2 linked regions of the Neodiprion lecontei genome follow. Each later gene encodes a partner of the first gene's protein in a complex. Links are inferred from orthologs where the notes say so. Each region holds a gene or a part of one and is shown on either strand. Other genes may lie near its edges.

Region 1 (16,479 bases):
CAGAAAACATTTGGCATATCGGTATCGATATATATTTTTTACCAATAAAATACCTACGAAAAAAATCTGACATTGAGTTGTTAAATGCAGATATTTAATGTTAATATGCAATTACTAAAATGAAGGAGATATTAAAGATATAACGCCATAAAATTTTTGTACTAAAAAGTTGTTTTATTTACTTTGCTTATTTCTAGATACAAGATTGTTCGAGATCGCCTTTGCATCACTAATGCGAATGCAGGCCTATATTACACGTATTTATAGTGCTGTTCGTGTGTGTATGAGCACTGTACAATACAGTCGACACACAAGCTTGGAATAAAATACAGTAGTAAACATCGTTCAGCGACAGTTTCATATTTATTGTAGTTATCAAACAAGTGAATTATAGTTCGACGAAGTACGCAACACAACACTGAAAATATCATACTTTTTGTCTCTGGTTATCCGCGAAGTACCCATGTGCATCGTAAATAAAAATCGTCAATTGTTCGGTGATCGCGACTTCATTTAAATACAGAAAATATTTTATATCACCAAAAAGAATCTCAATTCAACAACTTGCGAATATCACTGTGCAGTGCAAGATGATGTCGTTGTCAGTACAATGGCAGCGGCAATAGTCATTGGATTTGTCGTTTTTTGAAAATGCGCATACCGCGGCCAGTTAATACGTTAACACATGCTGAACAGCAGGTTCGAGGTATTGTGGATAGGTAGGTATTCACTGGAGTGGTCCGTCGCACAACTGAAACATACATTCTACTATTAATTTATGCCATCAACCATTTACCAATCGTCCTGAAAACTTTATACATAAAAAACTGAAAAGAGCAATCTACAGCTGTACTGCTCATGAATTCTTAAGCTGTTATAAAAAAATTGCGTCAACAGATTGAATAAATGTGATTTCCTCCATCAGTGGTGGGTGATGAAACTGACAACGTCATCATTTGTGGCTAAGAGAGTTTACTCATCACGCGGAGGTTCTGTTGTCAAAATTGTACTTGAATAGGATAATAGCGATATGAACAAATATTATCAATATCTGCCATGTGCAAATCATTGAACATTGGACATTGATATTGTGATTGTAAAAAGTTTGATATCATTAACATCATTCGATTTAACATACTTACACCAAAAGATTAACCATCAGCCAAAGTGAAGCTGATGACAAGAACCGCTCCTTTATCGTCCTTCAACTGTTCAAAACAAAAATGAAATTAACCAAGGCTCACAGAGGATAATGGATAATTAACAAAGCAAACGTGCTGTCTTTTGATCAAACAGAAGTAAGCGTGTACGACATGTATCCAACAAAATTTGTACAGACAATTTCTGAAATGTCTAAAATTGCAGGAAGTTTCAACATGGACTTAAAATACGTACCCAAGTGGAGAGAGATTCAATGTTACAGATTTTCAGCGGTTTTTTTTATTGTTATTATTAAACACGTTGATTCACTCATGACAGGAACCAGTCCTATATAATGAAAGAAACAAATTGCAAACTTACTGTATGAGGCGAGATCAATTTCATCCGGAAGTTCAGTGATGTTGACGTCGAATCTTTCTTGAACGTCGTTCAAAATTTTTGCATCTCCTTCATCGCTGACTAATGTAATAGCAAGACCCTGTATCGCAACAAGCAAGAAAAAAACTGTCACCACAATCATAATTGTAAAATGGAAGGAGATTCTGAATCGATCACGTTAAAAAAATTCCGCATAATCAGGAGAGAGTTCAAGAGTATATCATGGCGTGAATCAGTTAGAACACATGTTTCATCATTAAGCGGAAAAATTAAAAGGTTCAAATCTAAATGATGCGATATTATTCGACTTACTTTTGTACCAAATCGTCCTGCACGAGCTACCCTGTGAAGGTAAGTGTCGGAGTCTTCAGGCATATCGTAGTTGAAAACTATGTTGACTCTTTCAATATCCATCCCACGACCAAATAAATTTGTAGCAACCAAGATACGCTGAGTACGGATAAATATAGTCAATATCAAGTACGATAAATATTGTCGGTATTATCGCTATTTATCGATATAGTTCTTGCGAATTCACAATGGATGGTAGATAAATAGATAGTTATTTTATCCAGTTCAATATTTAATATGAAATATTTCATTAGAAGGACGTAAAAACTGTTTAAAAAAAATTTTACCTTTTGAAAATCTTTGAATTGTTGATATCTTGAAAGCCGTTCCTCCTGGGTCATTCCTCGATGAATACCAATTGCTGGAAAGTTTTGCTCTGTCAGCAATTGAGCCAGGGCCATGCATCTTTGCACGGATTTCACGAATATCACAACCTATCATAAATGAAATTTTTAAATTGAGTTAAAGTGTAGAAGGTGAACTTAAAAAGGTTAGAGTATTTCGCCACAGCAAATTTTTGCAATTCAGAAGTGAAAAATAAACAACTACGTTTACTTGACTTTGTATGAGTGATGCATTATATCACATTATATATCTGTATTAAATGAACATATTTACATTCAGTGAAACAGGCTTTTTACGCTAATGTAGGGGACAACCTGCAGCACTCAGCACAAGACACCAGTCCCCTTAATCATGGTGTCCAGTAAAATATCTGTAATACATTCGAGGACTCCCAGTAAAAAAAAAAAAAAAAAAAAAACACGAATGTAGAGGGCAGGGGGCACTGTATATATAATCAGCGTGACGTATGAGATATACGTTATTTCTGTTACAACCTGTTAGTAGGGGAAAACGAAAAATGCGATTCAAGGCGGGAATTGACATTATAAAAACAATTACTCAGTGAACACAAATAAATATATCATTCACTGGCACACTTCAAAAATAGTATATTTCCAGGACCACTGGACACCATGTCAAGTAGGTCAATGGGGTTGCTTCATCGAATCTCTACGGGATATACAGGGTCCATCAGTAGTGGGTGATGGAATGATGGAGTCATCATACTTGGCTAAGATAATTCACACATCATTTGGACCCAATAGTAAATCCGCCGTACGTGTATCAAACGTGTCTAAAGAAGTTACTCAAGCGATGCAGGTGTAATTTATACAGGTAAATGAATGCGTATGTCATGAAAAGAAAACAATCGTACCTGATTAAACTCTAGAACATCCAACAGTTCAAACAATTTCTTATTCTTCTCATTCTCCTTCAGCTTGACATAATGCTGTTGTAGACCGTGTAAAGTGAGTTTGGCCTCGTCGTCCACATACACCTCCATCGGCTGCGCAAACAAGGTATTTATAAGACAACCTACACTAGCCTGATCTAATTCCAGCGCATATGGATGCCCAAATACTTCACAATCCGTGATCCACGAATCTATCGATTCAGCTTGAAGTCTGTTTCTCTCTATCAAGCTATGGTATCAAGGTAATTATAGACACGTATCAGACCTCGTTAATCTCACTGGACAGCATCTTTTCAGCGTTCCGGTATCGCAACATAGAGAAAATGAATTGGTCTTTTCAAAATACCAATATAAGTCAAATATGTGATTCTTGAAGAATGAAGATTAAAGTGAACGTGGACCATACCGAAGTTATTTAATGTCGCGCAATTATAACCACTGTTTGAAAACAAAGTAGAATATATGATCTGATATGAGTTTGTGTTCCAATATAAGAGAACTGAAACCACTTCATCGCTCCAATGGTCAGGTATCTGAAGTACAATTATTTACATACAGGCTCTGGGATAATCTGGCAGTTGGGTTTATCACACTAGTTACATACGGTCAGGCGATTCCATCTCTCGGCATTAGCGCCGACACAAATAGAGTGCGCACCCAGGAACGCTCAGCCACTCCCATTGCTGTAGTCTCCTTCCCGTAAACTTTCACTTCTCAAGCACGTGAACGGCATATTGGCATTCGCCAATGGCATTGGCCCATACTGTAGGGTTTTGTGGTTGACATGCTCGCTGGCTCAGAATCTTATTCATCAACTTTGAGCCATGAAAATAAACTCGAACGTTTTCTAACCGCGACGACAGAAACAACGCAGCACCATGTTATGTTTTTGGAAATCTAACGCGAGATTTGCTCTGACGAGTTGCTGTTTTGTAGTACCAATCAGTAATGCCGGACAGATACTAAGAGTCTAAAGTTATCGAGCTATTGGGTGAAGCCTCCGACATTAGACTTTATCCCTATCTAGGCGCGGTTGTTTCCCCAAGTGTCCTCTTGAGTCTTCTTTCTTGCTTTCTTCTATCTTGGAAGCGATGTCTTGAGGTCTTCTTGGCCCCCCACCCCACGAACCCGTGCGAGATCAATATTTTTCTTATGTAGCAAGAAACGATCCATGTGTTGACATCAGCACACTTCTGTTGGTTGTAGCGCGTTACAATTATGACAGAGTTATCATCTTTCCCGTGTTAACTAACGTGGTATTGACGTTTATAAAACCATAACCTGAATGCGATTGAACGTGACGAGATGGGATTCACAAATAGATGACTATGGGAGCAAGATTCATTGTTTCCAAGGTTTGAAAGATCGTTCTTATGAAGGATGCATGGACTTTGGAGGTCTGTTGATCAAGATTGATTTGTAGGACGTTTATGCATCGTCACGTCAATTAACGGTTCAACGCGACGATTGTTTAGATTCAACGGAGGCTTCTCCTATTCACTGATGATCGAGGAAATGTTTTCAACGAAACTCTGTTGCTACGACTGTTCGCGAGCGCGTCGTCAATTAACGGTCGAGTCTGAGTGGAAATTCTCCTCAGACGTTCGTTTGGACGAGATCAACAATAATTTGGTCTGCCTAGCTAGCCTAACTCGCGGATGTGCGCAATAGAATATTCATGGCACGGTCTGAGCTCAGTCCTGGGTAAACGCAGAGCCAACGAAGAAGCGATCGAAGATCGAAGAGAGGAGGAAGTTTTTCTAATTACATCTTGCATGAACTTCTTGCAGACTGGACGTATATCCTTGGACAGGGTTGCGCTGAACATCATCACTTGTTTGCCGTGCGGAGTGCTCCTGAATATCTCTTGAACGTCACGCCGCATATCTGTGGTAAAATCGACCATTAGTATGCTAAAATTGTCTTCTAGTGTTAAAGAGTAGATATGGCTAGCAATTATTGTCAGAAAGTGGAATGCTTATAAGGCAATTTTTGACGCATTACGCAAATAGGTTTCAAAGATCAGAAAAGGAATAAGCATAGCATAAAGAGTCAATTCTCACCGAGTAATTCCAGCATCTTATCGCACTCGTCTAAAACGAAGTGTTTCAGGTGTTTCAGATTGAGTTTCTTGTTGCGCACAAGTGCGAGAATACGACCAGGTGTTCCCACCACGATATGAGGACAAGTATTTTTTAGTACCTCTTCATCTTTTTGTATCGGTAATCCTCCAAAGAAAACACCCACCTGCAAGTTAAGAATTTTTTGATGTTATTACACACTTATGTTAGAAAAGGGTGGGAAAAAAAAAAAAAAAAAATTTATAAAACCCGTCCTGTTTAGATTGTGCTTTAGAATCACCTTGACAGCTGGCATGTATTTACTGAATCTCTCGTACTCCTTGCTGATTTGAAAAGCCAATTCACGGGTGTGGCACATGACCAAAACGTAAACCACATTCTCCGTTAGTTCCAACTGTTGTAAAGTTGCGAGCACAAAAACAGCAGTCTTTCCCATACCAGACTTGGCTTGGCAAAGGATGTCCATGCCCAGAACTGCTTGTGGGATGCATTCATGTTGCACTGCAACACAATAATTTTGCAACAATTTGCTTGTTAGGCCATGGTCTTGTATGGAGCTTTAGAATGATTAAGAGTGCTAAATCGAGTCAGAATACAGATAGATCGTTCATTACTAATCAGATGTCCCTATCTATAATATCATCATTCAGACTACAAAGTATCTCCCAACCGCTACCCCCTTAGATTGTTAAGTAACGGATTGAATCTGGGAAGGAGAATTCTTATGTAAGTTACTTGTACAAACATTCTAAAAATGTAAAATCTTCTGACCGACATATATCTATAAAATTATAATACCTTCGGATGGATGCTCAAAACCACAGTCGACAATGGCACGAAGTATCTCTGGTTTGAGGAGGAAATCACGAAACCCGCTGCTATGAATCGATACATATGTACCTTTGACTTCTTTTTTTGCAGATATGTCTCCGCTACCATCTACCACTTGTTCGGTTTGCTCATCATCCTCGTAGTCTAACAAGTCTTCATTGTCTGCCATTTTTTTGTATTATATTGACGCTTCCTGTATAAAGTTTTTTTTATATATATATAGTCCATTTTGTGATTAGAAACCAAATGCATCCTATAATATCTTTAGACGATGTATGTACCATTCAAGTCACGTAAAGTAAGTGAAAATCGAGTTCGATGGGTAAAACAAGAGTCTCTTTGGTAGAAGCAGAACCATTAACCAGAGCAATGTTCAAGCTTTAATTCTTGGATCTCGCATATCACGTCTGAATAATTGGAAATAATCTTCTGATTTAAATAACGTTTAATTTACTTTTCCATTACAGAACACAATTCTGTAAGTTTCTTCGTATAAAAAAAGTTTTATTGAATAGTTAGGAATTATAACATTTCATTATCTTTCCCCGTTCTAGCCACGTACACAGTACATGAATTTGCATTCGCCATCTTGTGTACGCGTCCGCACCGCTATCCTTCCATAACGTAGTAGACGAAAAAATTTGGAATTACGACCGCGAGCCACGTAGAAAAATTCATCACAGTAACTAGGGCCAACATATCAATAATTGATGCACAAATATCCGTGAAACTAATCGCTAGTTTGAAACTGGAACATTATATGAATATCGCCGAAAAGGAACCTTGTGAACGGAAACCAGCTTGGGGTGACCAGCACCTGCCGGCACCATTTCAGTGATTCGACATTGTTCGACATACCGCCATTACCGTCGTTTCGCTCATCTTCAGCAAGGTGGGCATATCAGAATATATTTGATTGAATATTGAATGGCCGGAGATATGTTCAGATACAAATATGATCGTTAAGCCTTCAAAATTAACAGCTAAATCAATTTAACGGCGATAATATTACCATAACACGCAGAAGACACAAAACTGGTACGTAGTATCAAGGATTAACGTTAAACAACCGCCGCGAATGTTAGCGTACAAATATAGTGTAATTTCAAAGAAACAACAATATCAGCTAAAAATTAAACAATTATTTTTTGCTTGGATCAAAGGATCGCGTGTTTTAAATAAGATTACAGTGATGAGAACCGGGTGCGACAACTTACCTCAATTGAAAATGCAAACTATGTAGGGTACGAGCATCAACTACGAAGATCAGGAAACGTCCAGGAACGGTGAGCTCGGCCCAGAGAGTGGGAAAACGGATGACGCGACAAGGGCGAACCGCTGTCCGTAAAGTATACAAACGTACCGGAAGATAACTGAGCAACGCCGGAACCGCTATACTGCGGGGCAAAGAGGATTACGATACGCGACTTGTGTCCCCCGACTCACTAGGTGACGCTCACGGCGACGGCTACGCAAACCTTCCACGGCTTCCAATCTGCCGAATCCTCTTTGCTGCGCGGCATAGATTGAATTCACGAGGCTCGCTGTCTTTAAAAATTCTTAGTCAGTGGTTTCCTGTTGGCTATCCCGGCTATCCGCTATACCTATTTATTATTACCCCCACTCTCCTGTACACTTGGTATACATTTATACCTATGTTGATCACTGATGTTTATAATCCATTTGTTATAAATTCATCGCGACGACTCCGAACATCGTTCTCCATCGTTGTCATCGGTGCCGAAGCTTTTGGTTTGCTGTTAACTGCTGTTATGTTCCAATTGCCGTATAATTTTTTCTAATTTCCTACAGTGTTGTCCTATACTGCATTGCCCATCGGTCACGCAGATCCCCGCAGACTTTTATTGACAGACAGGAATACACTAATTATAGAATTGTCGAAAATTGCGATGGCTGGTGCTTGCGGAATTAAGTCATCCACTCATCAGCACTAGGAACCTAAAGATACAACGTTCATAAATAAAATTGTCTGTGGTCTTGGTCAAAGATGGACGAAGCAAAGTTTTTAAAAAGGTAGAGTTTTTACTGGCTGATCAGCCTTCTATAGATTATCCTCCGATGCAAAATTATATGACAATGACAGCTGTCTCTGGAACATGTCCGGATAGAATAGGTGAGAGAACAGGAATTATTGTTCATTTCTTCCTTGCTCAGGCTGAATTTTTCTGTTTCAGGAAAGTGAGATCCGGCAACTTGGATGTTCATCCAACTGAAAAGGCTTTGGTAGTCAATTACGACGTGGAAGCATTGATTTTAGGAGAACTTGGTGACCCTATGCTAGGAGATCGCAAGGTATCGATACTCCACCTTCCCAGTCTATCCTCAACATAACCGTTGTCGACTATGCCCACACTGGACATCTATTGCATGTACCGACTCCCATGGAACTAGATTTGTGTTCTTTCATTGATTTCTTATTCGATGAGTGCACGGTATTGATGTGTGTACCTACTCATCAATTTGATCGATACATGGCAATAGTTATATATCTATTACTTGTTATGTATGAGTTTGATCAAATACAAAGTGTCCTGACGGTGTGAACATGGTCGTCAATGATGAAAGTACAAGGGTAATCACCTTGTTAGTTATAGGTCAGATTATATATTCACATGTATCGACCAATATTTTAGGAATGTCAAAAGATAATACGCTTGAAAAGTTTGAACGCTGATACAAACGTAGCTCTCCTCGCCAAAGAAGTTATGGAAAAATGCAGTTTGATTCATGGGTCCAAGTTACGAGAAGTTGAACAACTCATCTATTATCTGCAAACTCGTCGGACCAATGATGAAGGTAGGATAGTTCAGTGGAGAAATTTTTTATTCATATTCGTATAATTTTATTGATGAGTTTCTTTTAAATTGTTCTAGTTGAGGATGTGGGTATACAACTTTCACGGCCAGCATCTTCTCATGCAACAAACACAGAGCGCAATGTTGACATCGAGAGAGCCATTATTAGCAACATTGACAGTTATATTGAACTTATGTACGAAGAGATACCAGGGAAAATTAGGGGTTCGTCTCTAATTCTACAGCTCGCCAGAGTTCCGGACAACTTGTTGGAATTGACAAAGAATGGTCAGTAACATGAAATGAAAAAGATATCAAATATATCGGGTATTCCCCCTTTTACTTTGTACTTTTTTAATACATTGCAAAACAACGATACAAAACAAGAGAGTACAATCAACAAGACTTGTGGGAAGTGATTTGGTTGAAAAATGTATCAAGCTTCTACAGATTTTCCTAGTGGTATTTACAAATTCCTATTTTCTCTTGTTCTCAGAATCCCTACTGAGTGCACTAGCGAGAGTTCTGAGAGAAGACTGGAGACGCAGTATCGAACTATCCACTAACATAGTCTACATATTCTTTTGTTTCTCAACTTACAGTCAGTTTCACAGCATAGTACTAGAATATAGGGTAAATTCAAAACGTTCTTCTCTCTTGTATAACGAGCAGCTTGTCCCGTACGTTTCAGATTTATAAAATTTTGGATCTATTTCATCAGATCGGCTCTCTATGTATGGACATAATTGACTTCGAGCTTGGGCGTTATGACCAGTGGAAAGAAGACATGGAGAAACGGCGTCGTCATTTTGAAAGTACAACAGGCCTCTCGCTTTTTCCTACTGAAATTGGTAATAACTTGGATAAAAAAGCAATAGTCGGCGATGAGATCTGGAATGCAGATGGTCCCCTTGACTTTGAAGTTAAAAGAAGATCCGTCGAATTGACAAGTTCCGCTACGGACGTTGATGTTAATAAAATGAAAGAGGACATTGAAAAAAGTCGTAAAAAGTTTAAAAGTTTGACAAGAAAACAGGAACAGTTATTGCGAGGTAGGTGACAATGCTTTGTTCTTAAAGAAAGAAGCTATTTAAATATGCATGTACTTTATGTTTAGTTGCCTTCTACCTATTATTGAACATTGCGGAGAACACAGAAGTGGAACGCAAAATGCGTAAGAAGAACGTCATTGGGATGCTCATCAAGACATTAGACAGAAGCAATACGGATTTGCTGATATTGGTTGTGACTTTTCTCAAGAAATTGTCTATATTCCGCGAGAACAAGGACTTAATGGTATACCTTAACACCTGTGGCTCACAATTTTAATCATTCAAATATCCTCTGTGTTCTCAATTGCCAAAGTTGCATTGAACTTCTGTAATAATTTTAGGCGGATCTGAATGTAATTGAAAAATTACCGAGGCTACTACACAACAGTAATTCTGATCTAATTCAAAGCACTTTGAAGTTATCATTTAATCTTTCATTTGACACAAAATTGCGGTCAAAGATGATACGGGTAGGACTGTTACCAAAGCTAGTCACGCTGCTGATTCAAAGTAAGTTGATTGAAGCATCATACGAAAGTGTATCCTACGTTCTATGCGATGCGTCTTATAACAAGTCTGCTTTAATTTCCTTCCACAGGTGAGATCAAAAACAAAACTACAATACTCGGCTTGCTCTATCATCTCAGCATGGATGACAAAGTCAAGTCTATGTTTACATATACAGATTGCATTCCTATGGTACGTAGTAGGCAGTTACTTCAAGTCACTACTAATCGGGCCAAGGTACAGATCTAAAACATTGAATCTTGATATGCATAGGTTACCGACATGATTTTGGTGTCTAATGATAATCAAATAAAACCGGAGTTGACTGCATTATGTATAAATTTGGCCGCCAATAAACGGAATGCTCAGCTAATGGTCGAGAACAACATTTTGCAGGGGTTGATTCGTCGTGCATTTAGAACTCAAGATCCGCTAGTGATGAAAATGATACGAAACATATCACAGCACGATTGCACCAAGGAGAGTTTCATTGTGGGTATTCCGTAGGAAATGTATGAGTATTTAGCCATCCACTGCCTTCCTTTTATATGACAGACTTTGTATGTTACAGGAATTTGTTGGCGACTTTGCAACGGCTCTGACTCAATCAGAATCGCAAGATTTCGTGCTGGAAATTGTTGGAGTCCTTGGCAACTTGACACTTCCGGATCTTGACTATTCACAAATACTACGACGATGCAATCTAATACCTTGGATAAGAAACAACCTTGTGCCTGGTAAACAATTTCTGTTCTGTACAGAGTCTAAAGAATTAAGATTTGGAGAGCGTTTTTATGTGATTGTCGAACGCCAAAGTTGACATGCTCGTGTACTTCTTGGTAGGTAAAGCCCAAGACGATTTGGTACTGGAAGTAGTAATATTTTTGGGTACGGCAGCTTACGACGAAATGTGCGCCCGATTATTGTGCAAGGCCGATATTTTACTGTCCCTGGTGGAATTACTCAGAGGTTTGTTTCAGCCAGAAGGCAATAATTTAATAAATTTATAATTCATTCCGTCTACGCTTATGACTACAAAAAATTCTCTTCATAAACAGCAAAACAAGAGGATGATGAAATAGTACTACAAATAATCTACGTATTTTATCAAATTGCTAAACATGATTCTACAAGAGACTATTTGATTCGAGAGACTGGTAATGGTAAGTATATTTATTTTCTATTGATGCTTTCAAGTATTGCTACAATCCGTGATTGACTCGTTCGTCATTTATTTCCAGAAGCCCCTGGTTATTTGATAGACTTGATGCATGATAAAAATCCCATGATCCGAAAGGTATGCGATGCCTGCTTGGACGTTATTGCGGTAAGTTGTTTGTCGAAAGTTGTTCCCTCTTGTTTAAAGCTAGGACTAGGATTACACCAAAATAATATACTCGATTATTTCAGCTTTGCGACGAAGACTGGGCAGCTCGAATTAAAGTTGAGAAATTCCGATCACACAACCAACAATGGTTGGAGATGGTAGAGTCTATTACATTGGACCCTACAAATCACCTCATGCCAGACGAAGACGATAGCCTCCCACCATTTGCTAGTGGAGATCTTCTCAAACATACAATGCTCTTTCCAACCAGTAAATAATATTTACAAGCATTAAATATATTCAACATACTGTAAAGCGTGGAAACAAATTGTTTCAAAATATTTCCGGCAATTGATTTTGAAACGACGTTTAATACACCTTCTTTCAGGTAATGCTGCTTTGTTTAATGCAGACGATGTCGATGTTGTGGCTAAAAGCTTATCGGATGCTTCGGAGAATCCTAGCCGACCAGTCAGTCGGTAAGTTAAGAAAGATGGGCAGCTAAACAAAATTAACCGCAGTGATTTGATAATTACTGAAATACAATTTAGGTACACTAGAGATTTAGATGAGATGGGTGAACTAACAGCTGCCCGCTCCAGGTCCCGACTGTCCATTGGTTCTGGGATTGAGGACTTGTGTGTCTCGAAAATGAAGTGTAATGAATTCAATGCCTCTCACGTACTTATATAATGGCTGGTAATTTGAATAAATTTCTATTGCTGATCTCATTACATTATCACGTATATAGGTAGATATACAAGTAGAAGTAGCGATACGTTAAATTATTTATTCATACTTAGATATTGTACACACACACACGCATATACATATTGATTTATTTATTCCCTTTAGAATAACATTGACATTTGCAAATGTTATAAAATATGCAGACTTGCTTTTCTCTTGTTTTCAATAAAGCAATATTGTTTGAGAAATGAGGAAAATAACTATCTTACGATCATAGGTCCAATCAAGTTCCAGGTGATTAATCATCATAGCAACAATAAAATGCCCATGGATGTTTGGCTTTCGCCAGAAACCGGAGCTGGAATTGATCAGGTTTAGTTGTTACGGCAATCAAAGCTCAAAACTTGACAGTGTCTGTTCGCACGGTAGAGCGATTTGCAATATACAGAAGATGAATGTGATAGAATTGGAATCAGTCAGCAGCCCACTGTACAAGCATAGCATAGCTCCACGTTTTGATGATTTGCTGGCTAACTTTAATTCAACTCCATTGGGATCACTCTACAGTGCAAATAAAAACAGAGCAGAAACTTTGAACTCTGTTGATTGTGAAATTAAACTCTTTTATCTTACAGCATGTATCTTACAGTTATAAAATAAGTTTAGATTACTTATTACAATTATTTTGGACACATCGAATTGTCTAAATAAAAAACATTCCGCCATGGCAGAGCTGAGGCCGCTTCAAGAATAGCATATACGATGATTTTGCTGTATTGACTATTGCCATCGATTATTATCTAGATGTGGAAGCGATAAGACAGAGATTCAAAATTATGAGAAATTTCAATCGATGACAAGTGAACACGTGTTTGCTGACTAAAGCGCAATTCTACCGGGTTAGTAAAAACAAAATACAGGATAAATGGTTGATGGTAAGGAAATTATACATGTTTGGTTTTTCTCTTATCTAAAAATGATTAGTTGACAAACCGTGTCCAAGTGCACAGTTTGTAGCACGACGAGGCATTCAGTCATATTGAAACAACAGGTGTGTCTGCCAAAGTGAGATTACCCTGCTAAGAGGAGATCCCGAGACTGGTTGTTACTCAGCTTATAGAATGCTGCAGGAGCTCTTCTCGCGGAAGGGGTTCGACTTTTGTGAGGAGAATCCGACTAACAGGCAGTCCTCTTGCTCGTGTTCCGTGATATATTTCATTATATCCTCGACGGCCTTGCTGACGGTGATTCGCCTGATCGCAGCCTCGCGACGAAGCTGCTCGGTAACCTGACGTTGCTGTTGTAGATTCGTAACCATCATGTCCATAACAGCCGTATCGGACAGGCCTATTGTTAGGGCGTGGCGGTACACTCGGGCGATGAAACACGGCCTAGAGGCCTAAGGGTTTCGCAACGGAGACGGTTTCACGGCACCGATTCCAGGGGTGAGACTTTACGACTTGGTTCTTGGACGTTGTTGCGAACTGCGGGCGTCGGTCGACGGAAAGGGTTGAACTCGATCTTCGGTAAATTGCCGAATCGCTCGCCACTGAACGAGTATTCTTACTGCCGTTGGCTTAGTGAAATTTGTACGGAATCCAACAGAGCTTGCCGACTATGACCGATCTATGTATGCATGTGCCTACACACATATGTACGTAACGTACAATACTAAACACTTTAAAATAGCTCCGGAATGAATATGTGTGTACAAGATTATCAGCAATCGCGAGTAATGGCGGCTTCCTGCGGCTTCGTACAAAAGGTACAAAATGTTCGTTTGACGCACGAAGTTTGACGGCGACACGATGGGGGTTTTTAAAAGTGCAGTGGCACTGACTAAGGACTATTAAAGATGGTTTACCCTAACGGGATTTTATGTATCTTATGGGATTGCTTGTCAAACGGCCTCCACCGATAAAAAAGTTATCGGATTGCCACACTGTTATCCTCATATTTCTATGCATATTACTGACGTTCACACATGCATTTTTTGGCTTTTTTTACCTCGCAAGCCAGAAACAGATAAGGGAAGTTCCCAAACTGGCACGAAATCACAATCACGAAATATTGTTTATAGCTGGCTTTCTTTAGTAGGATATGCAATGGCTTCTCAACGCTTCCGGTTTCCATTCATCGCTGCTAGATGTTCGAAACTTCTGCGCGACTAAATTCATAAGCAAAAGTTCATTTCATTGGGTAAAATAAATATTTCTCAAATGGATTCTTTCCATGCTTATGCGTGGAATTAAATTTTTTGTTTCTCCGACGGCGGACAATTTGTGCAGTTGGTATGCTGCGAGCATTGACCAGAAGTTGTCTGTTCTTGCAGTTTCGAATCTATCGCCGGGGGTGCGAACGTTCCGCAGTTTCAGTTACACCAAATTTGCCATAAAAATCATGCCATATTGCGTCTTGACGGTTTTATATTGAGTACATGCTGATCTAAGTGATTTACATGGCGATTTCAGGTGACTAGAAAGATAATTGTGAGTGTAAATATTCGTTATTTTAATATACAAATCGGTTGAAAAAAAACAAACATCACGATGCCCGTTGCCCGGTGTAATACCGAAGGATGGAAATTTTGTTCGTTATTTACACATGTATGTATACTGTACAGAATAGAGATGAGAGTATTTTCGCGTAATATTGTAGGAAATTTGTCGGCAATAGCTAAAGCGCATTGTAATTGGCATTCATCATCAATGCTTTGTGAATGTCTTACTTCGTGGTCAACGGACTTCGGCGGGATTCGTGATTTATAATGGCGGCGTTCTGGGTATAAACAACTGACAATCGGTGGAAAATTTCTCTTCTTGCCGCCAATTTAACGGACGGGTTTTGGCGTGCCGTTACCGTATCGTCGTTAATTGTAGTTATTGAAGTGAAAGAAATGTGAAAAGTAGCCGTGAATACTCTGTTTTACATTTGCAATTTTTCGCATGCAGGGATTCAGGCCACAGAGGTATGAATATAGCACAACTGGCATTGCGAAGTCGTTTAGGCTATGGAAAATTCACCGTGTCAATTTTCAATTGTTGCAAGCTAAACTCAGATAACATTCGAAATCATTTACACAAGTCCCAATCCTCTGTACTCGATCGTTTAATCAAAATGTAGTCTCGATGAATCCTAACAAGTGCAGCGCGGAATTTAGAAAGCAGTTTTGTTCTATTTGTGAGGTGAAAAATTGTCGTGAGTTTTCCATCGGTGATATTCTTTGCCGTTTATTCAGTGTTTTCCATAGAACTGTAAAATTTATTCAGTGTCTTCCACGGGAATATAAAATTTATCCAGCGTCTTCTACAGGAATATAAAATTTATGCAGTGTTCTTAAGAGGAATATAAAGTTTATTTAGTGTTCTCCACAGGAATATAAAATTTGTTCAGTGTTCTCCACAGGAATATAAAATTTTTTCAGTGTTCTCCACACGAATATAAAATTTATGAAGTGCTTTCCATAGAAATATAAAATTGGTTCAGTGTTCTCCAGAGGAATATAAAATTTGTTCAGTATTCTCCACAGGAATATAAAATTTGTTCAGTGTTCTTCACAGGAATATAAAATTTTTTCAATGTTCTCCACACGAATATAAAATTTATTAAGTGCTTTCCATGGAAATATAAAATTTGTTCAGTGTTCTCCAGAGGAATATCTAATTCACGACAGAAAGGATGCACTTCGGATGGTGAGGCTGGACCGATTATCAAGTTGCAGCATGGGTGAGTCGCATGAATTTAAAATCACTCATTATTTCTGGCTGTTAGCTATTTGAAAATGTTCGGTGGTACCATATCAAAAGTGTTGGAAACTCGCTCTTGTAATTTAGTCACTAATGTCACCTATAGGTCACGGCGGCAAAAGTTTTTAAGCGTTTCAAATGTTGGCAAAATTCAATTGGGCGACTTTTTAGCTTAGTCTGATAATTAATTTTGTTGAAAAATTAATGGCTTGTAGATTTGAACTAATTTTAAGGTGAACTATTCAGCTGACAAGCAAATGTCCGAGTCGGTGCGCATTAAG
Region 2 (14,402 bases), on another chromosome or scaffold:
GGTCGAGACTACAATACGTGGATGAGAATGATAATTACGAAAGCACGCGGCGCGTCGCGGGTTGCGTATAGACAGGCGATATCGTAAAACGGCAACGCAGTCCGATATGTTTTTCTACGACGACGATAGTAAAGTCGAGTCACAGAACTTTAGCATAAAACTGTGTGTATACGGTGTACGGCATCCTTACACGCATTACACGCATATGTATGCAAGCTGGCGCACGCTTCCCGGTATATATTAACATATGTTTTAAATTTACGAAGGGACTGGTCCGGGGCCCGTTAACGGTTAAGTCCCGGTTAAGCAACCGCGTTACACCCGTAACATTACAGCTTCAGCTTACTTGCACCGACTTGCTTCGATCTCGTTAAAAATCTGAACGTCACATTCGGTGAGAAATTTTTTTGCCGAAATTTCGCGTCGAAATAAAGAAGAGAGCGGATGATCGAACGAAAAATGGAAACCAGTCATCGCACTCATCGCTGTTCTCGTGTCCGAGGATGCAGGGAGTGACGAATGAGGAGTGGAACGGCTGGTTCTTCCCGGTTCTTATAGTTTAAAGACCGTTATGGGTGCGAGTCGTCGTCGTCGTCGTTGTCGTATTAACGAAGTCGGAGAGCCGGCTTGTTGGGCGGTTTTTTTCATCTCTTTTCGTATTATTTCTTTTTTTTTCTCTTTCTTTTCTTTTACTACTCCGTTTCACTCCATTCTCCTTCTTTTCTACTATTTTCTTTATTTCTTTGTTGGGCAACATCTGTCGCACGCTGCAGGCAGGCAGGTAGGTAGAGGTAGGTAGGTATAGGTGCAGCTGAGATACGTACGAGGTATATGGTATATTATGTATATATATGCATGTATGGATACGCGGTTCCCTGCGATGTGTGCTCTACACGTGCAGCATATACACGTAACATCTTTACACACACACACACAGAGAGAGGAAGAGAGGGAGAGAGATATGTTCTCGCCGTGAACGCAAGGTGCACCGATCCCTACGGGGTGTCCGAAAAATATACCCGCAACACTCGACGCTACGCACGATATTGTGCGAAACCCATCCTCGTTACACGATCTGATATTATTTATAACTCGGCGGGTCTGCGTCAAAATACTGCCTATAATTTCATGCGTGGGAGATGTAAATAAAAAATCAGACGGTTTATAGAGCAGGGCGAAAATGAATCGGGGAATTTTCTTTTTCTTTTTTTTTTTTTGCTCCGATTATACACAGTAACCTGGTTGAATGAATTTTTGACCATTAGCTTTTTGTCGGAATTAGTTTTCGTGGAACGAATTTACCACTCTGTATACCCTGTCGCCCATCAGGTATGTAAATCGAATGACTTCCGGAGTCTTTTTACACCGTGTGTATTTCCCCTATACGCTGCGTTGCGGGGTATTATACAGCATTATATTGAAATACACGACTAATTTTAATGGACGAGGTACAGAATGCCGCGGGAAATGTTTACATCGAGTTTTAAAAAGCAGTCCGACAACTAGTTTCGAAATTCTTAAACAGTTTCAACGCCACCGGCCGTGAATAGTGATTATCGTTCAGACGGCTTTTTATACGAGACTCCACACGTGGGTATCTGGGGTGTCGTTTAATTTTTAATTAGTAATCTTAATACAGAATCTTAGGTTAACGCTTGCTTATCGGCTGATATGGATAGATGTATAACGATTTGAGAAATTTATATCGATTCTCTTCGTTGTTTAACCCTTCGTCCCATCGAATGTCATGCATCGATGCGCGCAAAACTCGTGTTTTTACCGATGAAAATAATTTCTACGATGTCCTATGAATTTTTTAAAAAACTTTGGACATTTCGTAGAATTTTGTACAAAAAATTGTAAATATGCATAGTTTCTCATAAATTGTATGTTTTAAGTAAAAACAATCGCAAGATACTAAAATTTTTAACGAAAATTAACAACTCTTTACTTAAACCTATGCATATTTTCAATTTTGTACAAAATAATACGAAATGTTCAAATTTCTGTAAAAATTCGTTGTATTAGAAATTTTTACCAGGGTTAAGATGATATATTAAACTATAAATACAGGAATAACTCACGTGCTCAGAAATGTTGTTCAGTTAAAATTTCTATCTGTTGTATGATTTCCTCGTCACGTGTCATCGGTGCTTACTATAACCGGCACTAATTCCGTTGACGGCATAAAACACTGAGAAATCCACTCGCGCGACTCGACTTACGGATGATTATTGTCGAAACTCCTGGTGTCTGTAAAAGCGGATACAATAACGATGTATAAAAGACATTCAGTACGGACAGATACGCAGATATCCACATCGATAGTCATAAAAACGGCACCCGCTCACCGTGACCACCGTGGCAACACTGACCTGGGACGACAGAATCAAGTTACAGAGAGTTTCTTCTATCCCTTCTTCGAGTTATCCCCGAGCAGAGGAGTCCTAGTATTTCCAGTCTCAGATCGACTTATCTCTCTCTCTTTCTTTCTCTCACTCGCTCTTCGCTCGCTCTTCACTCGTCAGGGATCGACTCGAACCGATCAACCGGCTTGAACTCCGGTGACGAAGCAACCCCGAGCAGCTAGCTACGCGGCCTAGCTTCTTCCAGGCTTCAGGTGGCACTCGTAGAAGCTGTTTGGTGATCGGTGAAACCGGCCCAACTCCCATAAGTCCCCAAACCGAAACGTATGCGCGCGTAACTCATGCGTAATCCACGCACGCCGCGTCTCTCCGTTCGTTACGGAGAACAGGATTTACTACGAGTATAACTAGATATACGTTCCCTCTCCCTCTCTTATATTTCCCTCGCACGCTGATCCGAGAGAGCTTCTTATAATAATTACGACTGAGAATAAAATATCCTACTCCCGTAAGCAAAGATGAATCGTTATATAAGACGGCTTGCAGGCGCCACACTTGCGTCGCTTTACAAGCGACGTTAGCTGCTGGCTGAGGCTGACTAAGGGCTTCGTTCAGCCACGGGGTTGATGCACATGTGCAGGGAACCCCGTGTGTTGTTCGCATTGGGGGTACGGGAAAAACCGAGGGGAGTGAAAGAGCCCTGACATCGAGTGCCAATGAACGTCGCCGGGCGTGCATATATACGTCTGTGTGTTATTCACGAGTGAATCGTGAACGTGAATCGAACCCCCCCCTCCATTTCTTTCTCCATACGTAGGACGAGAAGAGGGCCCCTGGTGCTGTACATTCTTGTCCGGTCGTATGTGGCATGCCTCCTAGATATGCGTGTGTTTATTACACGCTTTGAGCGCAACACTCACTTCGACGGTCTGGTCTAAGGTCGGTCTATTTTTGTCAAACGAACAAACGGTCGCCAACATAATCAAACTATTTCTGAGATTGAGTTATCTTTAAACTGTATATATTTCTGTTAGCGAACTGGGATGAGAGATTTTGTTCGATAAAAAGTCTACGGACGTAACGTCGTCTTTGACATTGCAGGTATTTTGATTTCAGCGTTCCTTTATTATAATAAATAATGTCGTATAATCCTTAAAGTCCCGGTACGTGAGGACTGATCTATATTTTGAAAATAATTCTCAATCTCAATAATTTTCAATCAATTGGCGCGAACTAAGTGAAATCGTACTGTGCTAAATTGAGCATGATTTCAGTGTAGCTCTAATAGGTATCGCGTTAAATAATGCTACAATTTATTTGACAAAATTTAGGTAAATAAATACATCAAATTAATTTTTCATCCCAAAAATTTTCCACAAATGTTACTCAATGAATTGTGCATATGATGATAATTTCCTACACACATTTTATTTGTTCAACGATATGATACTCAACTAATTTTGAGTATGTGTATAAATATATGCGTGAAAATACTCGAGTGAAATTTGAATTTGATTACAGTTAGACCCGTTTAAACGCTGTGCTGTTCACGCTTTGGTCTTATTGTCAGCTGCCCCATTTCAATTAAGATCCTGCACCTAGTTAACAAACACATGGCGCACGTATGTAGGGTGGCTAGCAAACAGGGGTGCGTACAGCTTCTGGTGCACAATGAACGCATCGCCATTGCCCGTATTGTTTCCCTACGAATTACGCACAATGCCGTCATATACACTCCAGATTGGTACCGCGATATTGTTTCAGCTTGCCGAAACGTAATAAAGAAAACCCCAATCTCTCACGCGCGACTCCGGCGCAAATGCAATTTGAATTTGAATTTTAACTGCATATGAAGGAATCTACTTTTACATAACGCGAGCATGTTTTACGCGTTATTTCATGCGTGTTTTTCGTACAAAAAGTGCTAGTCTATTCTATCACGCTCGAGTGAATCTGTGAATGCGTTTACGAGGAGTACTGAAAAGACCACTTTTAAGCCCTAGGAGTTTAAAGTGGTCTTTTCTAGACCGCGCGCATGCGCTGTCGCGAATGAATCTGACGTTGTGCGACCCTAACCTCAATTTCGTGCTTCGTGAAAAAACGTGTAACATACACTTGTTACATGAAAAATCGTGTGCAACGAGAAGGCAACGGTCTTTTCGCCTCGCATATTTGCAATATTCGTCTTCGACTTCACCTACGACTCATATTGCAAACGTACGCTCGGCCTAAAAAGACCGAGTTTGCCCGTTACACAATATACATTCCAATTGGCAGAACATCTGATTTACCGACGGACTCTAAATGACACAATAAGCTATTAATGATTGAAGACAGAGCGCGCTGTCGGCGTAAAAAGGGTTTGTGATTAAAAAAAATCGATTCGATTGTTTGAGGCGGTGTCGTCTGCTCCTGTCACTGTCATTGCGAGGAGCGTATTTCCCTGGCAGACTTAAAGTCGTGATATTGTACAGTGAGTTAGAAATTTATAGAGCGATTTTCAAAGGATAATGGAAGGACCAGGGGTGAGTTTGGTAAAATTATTCAAACGACGTTCGTTCTCATCGACCGCACTGATTTAACACGAAATATACATTTCACAGGATAATGCTGCGGAGCTGGGAGAGATTGAAAACGTTAGAGTGGTCGTTCGTGTTAGACCACTGAACGGAAAGGAGTTGGACGGTCACTGTAAGAATATAACAAAAGTTGACTCTCTGAACAGTGAAATATTGGTCGAAAATCCTCACGCTGCTCCCGGGGAACCACCAAAACTGTTTTCCTTCGACGCAGTTTTCGATACAGACTCATCACAGGTTGACATATACAACGAAACAGCCCGGCCGATCGTCGACAAGGTTCTTCAAGGCTACAATGGGACGATACTTGCTTACGGGCAAACGGGAACTGGTAAAACCTACACCATGTCTGGCGCCAAGACTTCCCCACAGCTAAGAGGCATCATTCCGAACACCTTTGCCCATATATTTGGCCACATCGCTAAGGCTGACGAAAATCAGAAGTAATTACCAGCCGCGAGTTATTCAATTTGATCATGTCAATTGCAGAATAAATATTTACTGATAATTACGTGACTGAACTAAAATAATATGAATTTCATCTCAGACTACATTTTTGCAGGTTCTTAGTTCGCGCTACATACTTGGAGATTTACAACGAAGAAGTTAGAGATTTGTTAGGAAAGGATCAAAATACTCGTTTAGAAGTCAAAGAGAGACCGGACATTGGTGTATTCGTTAAAGACCTAAGCGGATATGTGGTCAATAACGCCGATGACTTGGACCGCATCATGACCCTAGGAAATAAGAATCGTGAGCCTATTTAATCGCTGTTCAACGGCTATTCCTAAAGACACAAAGTCACCTCAAGATAATCCATTATTTATTTAATTTAAGGGGTTGTCGGCGCAACGGCGATGAACGTTTCCAGTTCTAGGTCCCATGCGATATTCACCATAACTGTCGAGTCCAGTCAACTAGGCGACGATGGAGAACAACACGTTAAAATGGGAAAACTTCACCTTGTAGATTTAGCTGTGTGTATTTCTTCACAGTATATAGATCGAATTTTGAATTGCTAAATTCCAACATCGAAAGTACAGCGAGATTTAAAACCTCGATATTTCAGGGCTCAGAGAGGCAAAGTAAAACCAAAGCGACAGGAGTCCGTCTGAGAGAGGCTACAAAGATTAATTTGTCTCTGTCGACACTGGGCAATGTTATATCCGCACTTGTTGACGGACAAAGTTCACACGTCCCGTACAGAAACTCTAAACTAACAAGATTGCTGCAGGATTCGCTGGGTGGAAATTCGAAAACTTTAATGGTGACTATTTACCCAGTATTCGTGATTGTGACAATTTCTTTCTTGAATGAACAATGAACCAAATTTGAATGGATTAATGTTTTTCGCAGTGCGCAAACATTAGCCCTGCTGACATGAACTACGATGAAACTATAAGTACTCTAAGGTACGCCAATCGAGCTAAAAATATTAAGAACCGAGCTAGAATTAACGAGGACCCCAAGGACGCCCTACTTCGCCAGTTCCAAGTTGAAATTGAAGAGCTGCGTAAACAACTCGAAGAAAATGGTACAGGAGTTTCTGAGTCTGATCCCGAGACCGAAGATTCTGATGATAATTTTGAGTCAAAGTGTGATAGAAAAACCAGACATAGACAGAGCCAAATACTTTCAATGGATCAACTTGAAGATGGTGAAGTAGAATTGAGAGAAAAAATGGACAAGGCAGAGAGGCACGACAAAAGCCCAGATGACAAAGATGTCATCGAGCTAAAGAGAACGCAGTGAGTTTTTATGTTCGGTATGAAAAGAAAAATAACACCCACAATAACACTTGATAATCAATATCAAATAAAAACTGTTCATTTTTTGTCTTAGAAGCGAGAAAGAAGCGTTAAGGGAAAAAATGCAAAACTTGCAAAACAAAATTCTAGTCGGAGGTGAGAATTTATTGGAAAAAGCCGAGGCTCAGGAACAGCTACTCGCGGCATCTGCAATTGAGCTGGACCAAAGAAAGAGCCGAGAAGAACAGCTGAAGAAAGCTATTGAGGAAAAAGAGGCTGAACGCATAGACATCGAAGAGAAATACTCGTCCCTGCAAGAAGAGGCTGCAGGAAAAACAAAAAAATTAGGCAGAGTCTACACCATGCTGATGTCTGCCAAGGCGGAATTATCGGACTTGCAACAAGAGCATCAGCGAGAGATGGAAGATCTCCTGGAAGGTGTACGAGAAATTGGACGAGAATTACAACTGCACGAACTCGTTCTCAACAACTACATACCTGTTCAATATCAGGTAAGTAAACTGAGGTACAGAAAATTAATCATTATTACCAACTTTGTCCTGACCGGCATAATATTTTCCAGACGATGATCGAAAGGTACGTTCATTGGAACGAAGACATTGGGGAGTGGCAATTGAAATGCGTAGCGTACACAGGAAACAATATGAGAAAAGCACAAGCCACACCTTCGACCGGAAGCAACAAAGATGTAAGTGGAAATTGTGATTCTAATCGAAAGCTTGGAATATTGACAAACTTGCATGCTACAATTTCTGTTACAGCAACCACAGCCTGATCTCTCTAACATCTACCTTTCGTACAACACGGGCACGGAAAGCAGTCTTGCCCAACCAAAAAAGTTGAGAGGTCGGTCGGGTGTTCCGAGGCCGACCACTGCTCATCGACGACCCCCTCGCTAAGCATTATTTTTAAGCAAAACCATAAGCTAGATATTTATTTTTCATAGTGTATTTTTTTTTCTTTTTTTTTTAATTACCACTTTATTTAAAGAATTGGTATCATTTTAACGGAATGGATACGCAAGGACTCGATTGAGAGGTAGTTTTAGCACGAATATTAGCACATTATAGAACTCGTTATTGTTTATGTAAAAACTGCTTTACTTTTTATGATACGTATTATAGGTAAGGATTATAAATTATTGTTCCTGAATTATTTTATATTCATATACAAATGTCTGTTTGACGAGTCAGTAAATCTACGTAAATCTGCTTTGATTGCTGATGATAAAAAGTATGAAAAGAAATCTTCAATTCGTTGTACAGAATAATTGTAACATCGAGGGAACATCTGATGCTTTGCAGCTTAATTTTTTAAATATCTTTTTTTAACGACAAGATTGATGATCTGATTAGTAATTAATATACGTATACTGCAGCTTTTTAATAGTAATAAATCCGACGAATCACCAGCAATATGTTTTTACATTATTGCAACAAATCTATGTCGATAACTTTTAATCTCTTTTCTCAAATTTAGTTAAAGTAAACTCACGAGCAACGTGTTATTTATCCACTCATGTAAAACCATTTATATCCGCAATTTGAATAAACAAATCGTAAATATTATAAAAGATCCTATTTCTATTAATATTTCAAATTCAGTATGAAAACTTTCCCCGTATTAATATAAGAAGCAAAATTATGTCTTTTATCAAACACTTATAATTTCATGTTGTACTGTATTTTTATCATCAATAGGTACCCAATGCTCATGAATCCACTTTTTAATAAAATTGCAGTGAATTTGTCGCGTCTGAATCACGCTAGATGGATCATGGGGATTACTTGCCCTGAGATCTAGATGGTGAGCGCCTTCTGGTATGAGAATTGCCACTGTCGACGACGAAACGTTTGATAAAACTCCACCAGTTGACCAAGGGTCCAACAATCCATTACTGAAAATTTTATAAGTAATGCAATAATTGATGCACGATATGAAGTCACTGTCAGTTCCAAGACTAAATAAACAGCAAACGCACCTAAACACGATGTTACTAGCTGCAGATAGATCCTGACATCCATATTCCTCGCAGGCTAGATAAGGCTGGGGTCTTGACTTGAAATTCTGATAGCAGTCGTCGCTAAATTTCTTAAAATCCCAAGGAATTTTTTCGAACATGTCATCCACGCCATTGGTACACATGGGCATGACCATCTCTGTGCAAGATTGATACGACCACCCTTTGCTATCCAGATTTGGAGAAGAGTTTTCGCTCACAGATAAACACTTGCTGTTTCCTGTGCCATTTGTAAAGACACTAATCGCTTTGTTGAGATCAAGAAGAAGCGCCATGTCGTTCTGATTCGAGTTCGTCAAGTAGCTGCAGACTTTCTACACGAGCAAAAATAATCATAGATATACATGTTATTTGAATTTGGTTCAATTCTTTTACTTTGAAAAGAGTGAAATTTTTCATATCAGAATAGAACTTACGGATATTGGATACGCAGGTAATGGCGCTAAGAAGTTTGACGCGTATGGATAGTTTACCATTGCTAAATTTCCGTAAATATCGGTCAGAAAGTCCTTCAGCACTTTGATGTCTGATGAATTTTTCAACGGCTGGCACAATTTCCAATTTTCTGAAAACCATTTCCTCCCATTTTCTGTAAAATAAATTAAATTATTCTATCCGTGAAGGTGTCCCCGCCTGTAGGAAATAGCAGATATAACTGATGCTAATAAAGTAATATTCTGTCTCACCAGTTGAGGTAACGTTTGCGATTGCTGTCCACGATTTGAGAATTGTTTTCGGACATTCTGGATGCGCTATGCGAAAATCTGATGTGACGACTCTCGCAAATGCGCCGCATTCGGTGATACCAGTGAATTGTAGGATCGGAGCCGAAGCTGCGATTGCTCTGAAATTTTCAGGTGGATTATTTATCGCATTATTAGCAAGGCTTAGCATTCAAAAGAGACTTTTGCAACTATCACCCTTTTACAAGGTGTGGATACTTCATCCGCATCCATGCGCTAAGCATTCCACCGTAAGAGCCTCCAAATACAATGACAGGGCTATGTTTCATGTTCGAAGCAGATTTTAGAAAACTTATCAAGTCAGCGTAATCAGCTAAGGCTTGTTGGCTTGTTAAATATCCGAGATGACTAGAATCTGAATAAGATTCGTTACCAAACGGCATAGATTTTCCGTAATAGCGATGCTCAGCAAAGATTAAACATGCGCCAAAGGTTGGTGCAATTTCCCACATAAAACCCTGCAAGAAAATAATTGGATATCAGTATCAACTCTGCACATAATTCAAAACTTGTACAAACAAGGGGCAATGCTTTAAACTTGCACGGAACCAATTTGTAATAAGCTCACTGACTTCCAGAATAATCGGCATGCAGTGATAGAATTTTCAACATATAGTTATAACGCTAATTGTTTACGTTTACTGTGCAATCTCTCACCGTATTTTGAGCAAAGAGTTCGATGTCCCCTTCATTTCCTGTGTAAAAGAATATAGGTGGATCATTGCCCCTCTGCCATGTGTCATTAACGAGGTATCGCATCTCAAATGTAGCGTTCATTGAAAAACTGAAATGATCGAGCTGGAAAAAAAACAGTTGTCAATTTCAACGGTGAGTTATTCTTTGTAGTTAAATAAGAAAACAAATTACTGACTGATTACAAGATACAACAAACTTGTTCACTCACGGGTACTCGAAACTTTTTGATCACAAAGTCATACTTGATGTCTTCTACTGCCTGGTTTTGAGCTGGTTTAAATTCACCATATTCTATTGAGCTAGCAGAAGTAATGTAACAACAGAATAATGCATTTATTAAACCAAAAGCAGTAGGGAGATCCATCATGATCGACTGCTCGAGGAACACTGAGGTTGCAATCACAAACCAGTGAACGTTGACCTCTATCAATCCTCAACACATACGTACAATGATATGAATGTGTTCGTGACGTTCGTTCGTGTTTGTATATCTGTATGTTATCCAATTCAAATAAAGGGAAATCAAATATAAACAATAACGAAAAATTATCTTTCGATAGCTGACAAGTGTTTGAATGGCTTGTTGAAATGAACAAGTTAACATACTTGGGATCTTAAAACTACAGATTCTTATAACGAGTCGTAATATAACTAGAAACATTGGATTGTGCATGAAACGAAAAGAAAATGCCAAACCAAAACCGCACATTCTGAACACAGACAGGATGTCGCTTTTACTGATTAGTATTAGTTAGAATCTGGTATGACATAAGATGTTTATTACAAAAAATAAATTAATTCATTCTACGTACAAAAATACATCGTAAGTAATTAATATTAATAATACTCTGTATTTAGTGATGATTTTATAATAAATGATAATGATGATATTATTATTTTGTGACAGTATCGACACGTAATTAAACAGTATATATTATGCAATACTCTCTATAGTTTGGTTGCTGAAATTTCCAATCCAAACGACACGATAGATACGTCACTGAAAGAAGAATAGATTCTTTTTCAAATTGCCACAGTTAATGAAAATTTAGTTCAAAATAAATCTACGAAAGTATCGATTAATATAAATATTTTTTTTCCTTTTCATTCTTTTCTTTTTTCCCATATATTGAATAAATTTTTTTCTTTTCATTATTACTTAAACGAATATTCATATAGTAACAGAGGCATAAATTTTTATCTAAAACATAATTATCTAGTCTTGCAGATCTACAGTAATTAAAATAATTGATTATAATAATGAAAACCTGCGTGTACAACCTCATCCAATATTAACGAGCCAAACTCAGTGGTGGCTACTGGTGCTTATAGTACTGTCCCGACATTCTCTGACGGATGGACAGTTGTACGACGCTTGTTATTAATATCTTAAGTATAAAAATTTATAAAATTTCAACTTTACATGATATAAATTTTATAGAAATGATTAATATTATTTTTAATATTTGTATCAATTTGTGATTTACAATTACAATTTCCTACAAAGTACGTGACCAGGCACTTTGCCTGTTGTTAATTATATAGAATTTTGCAATTATGATTGCAAAACTTATAGAGAAATGTAACACTTATAATAATGACTATCGTATCGTTTGATGTATGGGCAACCGCAGCGACTGGTAATATTATTATATATATTTGAAAATATTGTTCCTAAAATAAAATCTCTTCTAATGATGTGTTGTACAATAAAGTGCTTTAAATTAAACTAGAATAATATATAATTAGCCTCTTCTAACTAAAATTTATCATAAACTACGGAAAGCTCTACCAGAGGTAAGTGGAATTAATACATACTTCAACATTTATTTTTGTACTTCATTTTAAGTCTCATTTGTTCTAACTGTTCTTCATACTGACTCTCGAGCTCCGCCATTTTTGTCGATACTTGTTTCTCTTGAGAGCTCACTATTGCATCAACTTTTTGTTGTACTTGATTCATGGCTCTTTTGTAACCCTCCTTGATCCTTTCGCATTCGCTTAGAAAGAATTTTTCTTTATTCTCCGCCAATTCCTGTAAACCATGTCAGTTTTAAAACCAGAACTGTAGACGTTTATCGTTGGGTATACCGAATGATATCCCGAAGGTCTTACCTTATAATTTTGAGCAGTTTTCCTTGCTGACTGATACTTGTGTTTCAACATATTGATATTACTTTTCATATCTTCCTCCGTTTGTTTTAAATCTTTGACTTCTTCGGTTAAGGCCTCCTCCTTTTGCTTCAACTTTTCAATATCTTGATTCATTTCAGCCTCTTTTGTTTTGACCGATCTAATTTCCGATGCCCACTCGGACATTACTTGGGCCATTACATTTCTTTGTTCTTCCATATCAATTTCTCTCCTTCTTAATTCCTCCAGCAAGGATTCTATCCTAATTTTTCTCGCCACCAACTCATGATGCATCTTTTCCAGCTTTGCTTCTATCATTTTTGCTATCGTTTGTTCCTGCGCCTTAAACCTCGACTGTAACCGGAGTCTTTCTGCGATCATAGTTTCCTTTACTGCTTCAACCTCTTCAGTCTTTTCTCTGCACCTTGACTGCAACTCTAACAACAGGGTTTTATACTGCTCTTCAATTTCCTTTTGTCTTTGCTTATGTTGCTCTTCAATCCCCTTTAATTCGTCAGTCACTTTCTCCTCCATTTCTTCCCTGACCTCTTTTATGGCAATTTCCCTCATTTTTTGTAAATCAGCATCACCTGTCAAGCTGCGAGGAGAGTTGTTCAATTCCACTGACACTTGCATTTGACTCTTAACGTACCGTTCAAATTGTCTTGCCTGATCTTTCAGTTTAACTACGAGCTGATCTCGTTCTTCTTTGAGCATATTAATTTCTTTCGATTGAAGTTGAAGCTGCTCATCGTTGCGCCGTGACTCATTAGCCAAAAGTATCATTCTTTCTTCCGAGTTTGAATTAACATCTGTATTGCCTTGCAACTGTTTTATTTCTAAACTAGACAACTTATCCTTCAACGTATTTCTATCCCTCAAAACACTATCATATTCTTTTTGCAATGATTCATATTCACTTTGTGCACGTTCGAGGCTTTGCCTGATATCACTGGATTCCTGTAAATTCGATTGTGTACTTCTTTTGGCATTCAATAATTCTAATTCCAATGCAGAGATCTTATCTCTGCAGGAATTTCGATCTCTGGCAACATCCTCGCACTTTTTCTTTAAAGACTCATGTGCGATTTCCAACTGGGCTATTTTTAATCTAGCATCATCCAAATTTGTTTGTAGTTCCGACATTTTTTTCCTCTCTTCGACTACATTCGAAAGCTTTTCTTCCAAACGTTTGCAATCATCTTCAAGCTGCAATAGGATATGATAGCCATAAAGAGTATATTTGACTATAAATGTGCTCTGTATCATGAAAAACAATCTTTAAACAACATACATACCTGAGTAATTTTATCTACATGCTCAGAGCAGTGATCTGGTAAAATTACACTTATGTTACGGTTTGGGTAAGCATTACGCAGTTCTTTCAGCGTTTCTTCTTTCGCTGCAAACAAGAAAGACAAAATCAATGGTCAGAAATTGACGTCTATAAAGGTGCTTCAAAACCCAAATCAAAATGGTTTCTCCTCACTTCTCTCAATTTCAACATGTATTCTTTTTGCATGTTCTTCTCTTCTCTGCCTTTCATGACTCAAATCTTTTTCCAGTTCTACAGTTTTACTCCTATAAAGCTCACACTCTTTAGTTAGCCTCTTTATAACGGATGCCTGAGTTTCTAAGTCACGATTCATCTTGTCCGCCATTGCCTTATGTGTCTCAAAGTCTGCATACGTTACTTTTAATTCCGCAATTTCTTCCTGATGCTGTGCTATCAGTTGCTCTTTTGTACCACAAACATCTACGTATAATTCTTTAACTCGATCTAGTTCTTTTTGGGTCTGTTCCAATTGCACTCTGTGAAACATGGTAAATTTTTATAACAATTGATTCTAAAGATGTTCAAATAAACTATGGTCATCATGCAATGTTCTTGTTTTGGGTTATGATACTTACGATAACTGAACTATTTCAACTTGCGCTTCCTGCCTGACTCTTTGTACAGCCTTTTCGTGAATTTCTAAATACTCTTTGTTGTATTCTCCCACAGCTTCTTTCTCTTGCTCTGCCAATATTTCCTGATGCACACGTCTTAAATTTTCCTCATTTTTAACTAAAGCCTGCTGTAGTTTACGCTCGAG

Evidence for each region.
Region 2: the proteins of kinesin-associated protein 3 (region 1) and kinesin-like protein KIF3A are in contact, whole or in part, in a crystal structure (PDB 9IKB), measured with the Caenorhabditis elegans proteins. The link is inferred for Neodiprion lecontei from reciprocal best matches to the Caenorhabditis elegans genes kap-1 and klp-20. Residues at the interface, in NP_001367739.1 of Caenorhabditis elegans: Ile269, Glu272, Leu273, Val276, Arg277, Leu309, Ser310, Ile311, Phe312, Asp313, Glu314, Asn315, Lys316, Asn349, Phe350, Phe352, Asp353, Lys657, Ala660, Gly661, Arg663, Phe664, Lys665, His667, Asn668, Gln670, Trp671, Met674, Val675, Asp679; in NP_497178.1 of Caenorhabditis elegans: Tyr557, Ile558, Pro559, Val560, His562, Leu565, Ile566, Tyr569, Lys582, Ile584, Ala585, Tyr586, Gln607, Met611, Tyr612, Tyr613, Ser614, Tyr615, Arg616, Leu619, Ala621, Ser622, Thr623, Ala624.

The regions. Positions count from the first base shown.
Region 1 is NC_060262.1:133,380-149,858, reverse strand, and holds kinesin-associated protein 3, read left to right. Parts: upstream 1-7,651; 5' UTR 7,652-8,068; coding exon 8,069-8,094; exon of another isoform or gene 8,095-8,194; intron 8,195-8,255; coding exon 8,256-8,373; intron 8,374-8,714; coding exon 8,715-8,877; intron 8,878-8,954; coding exon 8,955-9,164; intron 9,165-9,372; coding exon 9,373-9,509; intron 9,510-9,597; coding exon 9,598-9,928; intron 9,929-9,993; coding exon 9,994-10,172; intron 10,173-10,269; coding exon 10,270-10,438; intron 10,439-10,526; coding exon 10,527-10,627; intron 10,628-10,708; coding exon 10,709-10,927; intron 10,928-11,006; coding exon 11,007-11,172; intron 11,173-11,278; coding exon 11,279-11,404; intron 11,405-11,493; coding exon 11,494-11,598; intron 11,599-11,676; coding exon 11,677-11,762; intron 11,763-11,845; coding exon 11,846-12,032; intron 12,033-12,150; coding exon 12,151-12,241; intron 12,242-12,313; coding exon 12,314-12,455; 3' UTR 12,456-13,151; downstream 13,152-16,479. Other genes in the region: ATP-dependent RNA helicase WM6, read right to left, coding at 1,195-1,208, 1,522-1,639, 1,852-1,989, 2,178-2,324, 3,110-3,241, 4,917-5,035, 5,212-5,395, 5,510-5,730 and 1 more; guanine nucleotide-binding protein subunit gamma-1, read right to left, coding at 13,567-13,779.
Region 2 is NC_060266.1:25,201,593-25,215,994, reverse strand, and holds kinesin-like protein KIF3A, read left to right. Parts: upstream 1-4,733; 5' UTR 4,734-4,876; coding exon 4,877-4,891; intron 4,892-4,969; coding exon 4,970-5,388; intron 5,389-5,492; coding exon 5,493-5,698; intron 5,699-5,782; coding exon 5,783-5,922; intron 5,923-6,014; coding exon 6,015-6,212; intron 6,213-6,301; coding exon 6,302-6,693; intron 6,694-6,787; coding exon 6,788-7,205; intron 7,206-7,276; coding exon 7,277-7,402; intron 7,403-7,475; coding exon 7,476-7,613; 3' UTR 7,614-8,289; downstream 8,290-14,402. Other genes in the region: lysosomal Pro-X carboxypeptidase, read right to left, coding at 8,368-8,611, 8,696-9,048, 9,151-9,323, 9,421-9,578, 9,655-9,935, 10,135-10,275, 10,382-10,540; centrosomal protein of 152 kDa-like, read right to left, coding at 11,993-12,208, 12,289-13,515, 13,605-13,708, 13,796-14,118, 14,218-14,402. UniProt on the Caenorhabditis elegans protein: Component of the kinesin II motor complex (composed of kap-1 and the heterodimeric motor proteins klp-11 and klp-20) which is required for intraflagellar transport (IFT).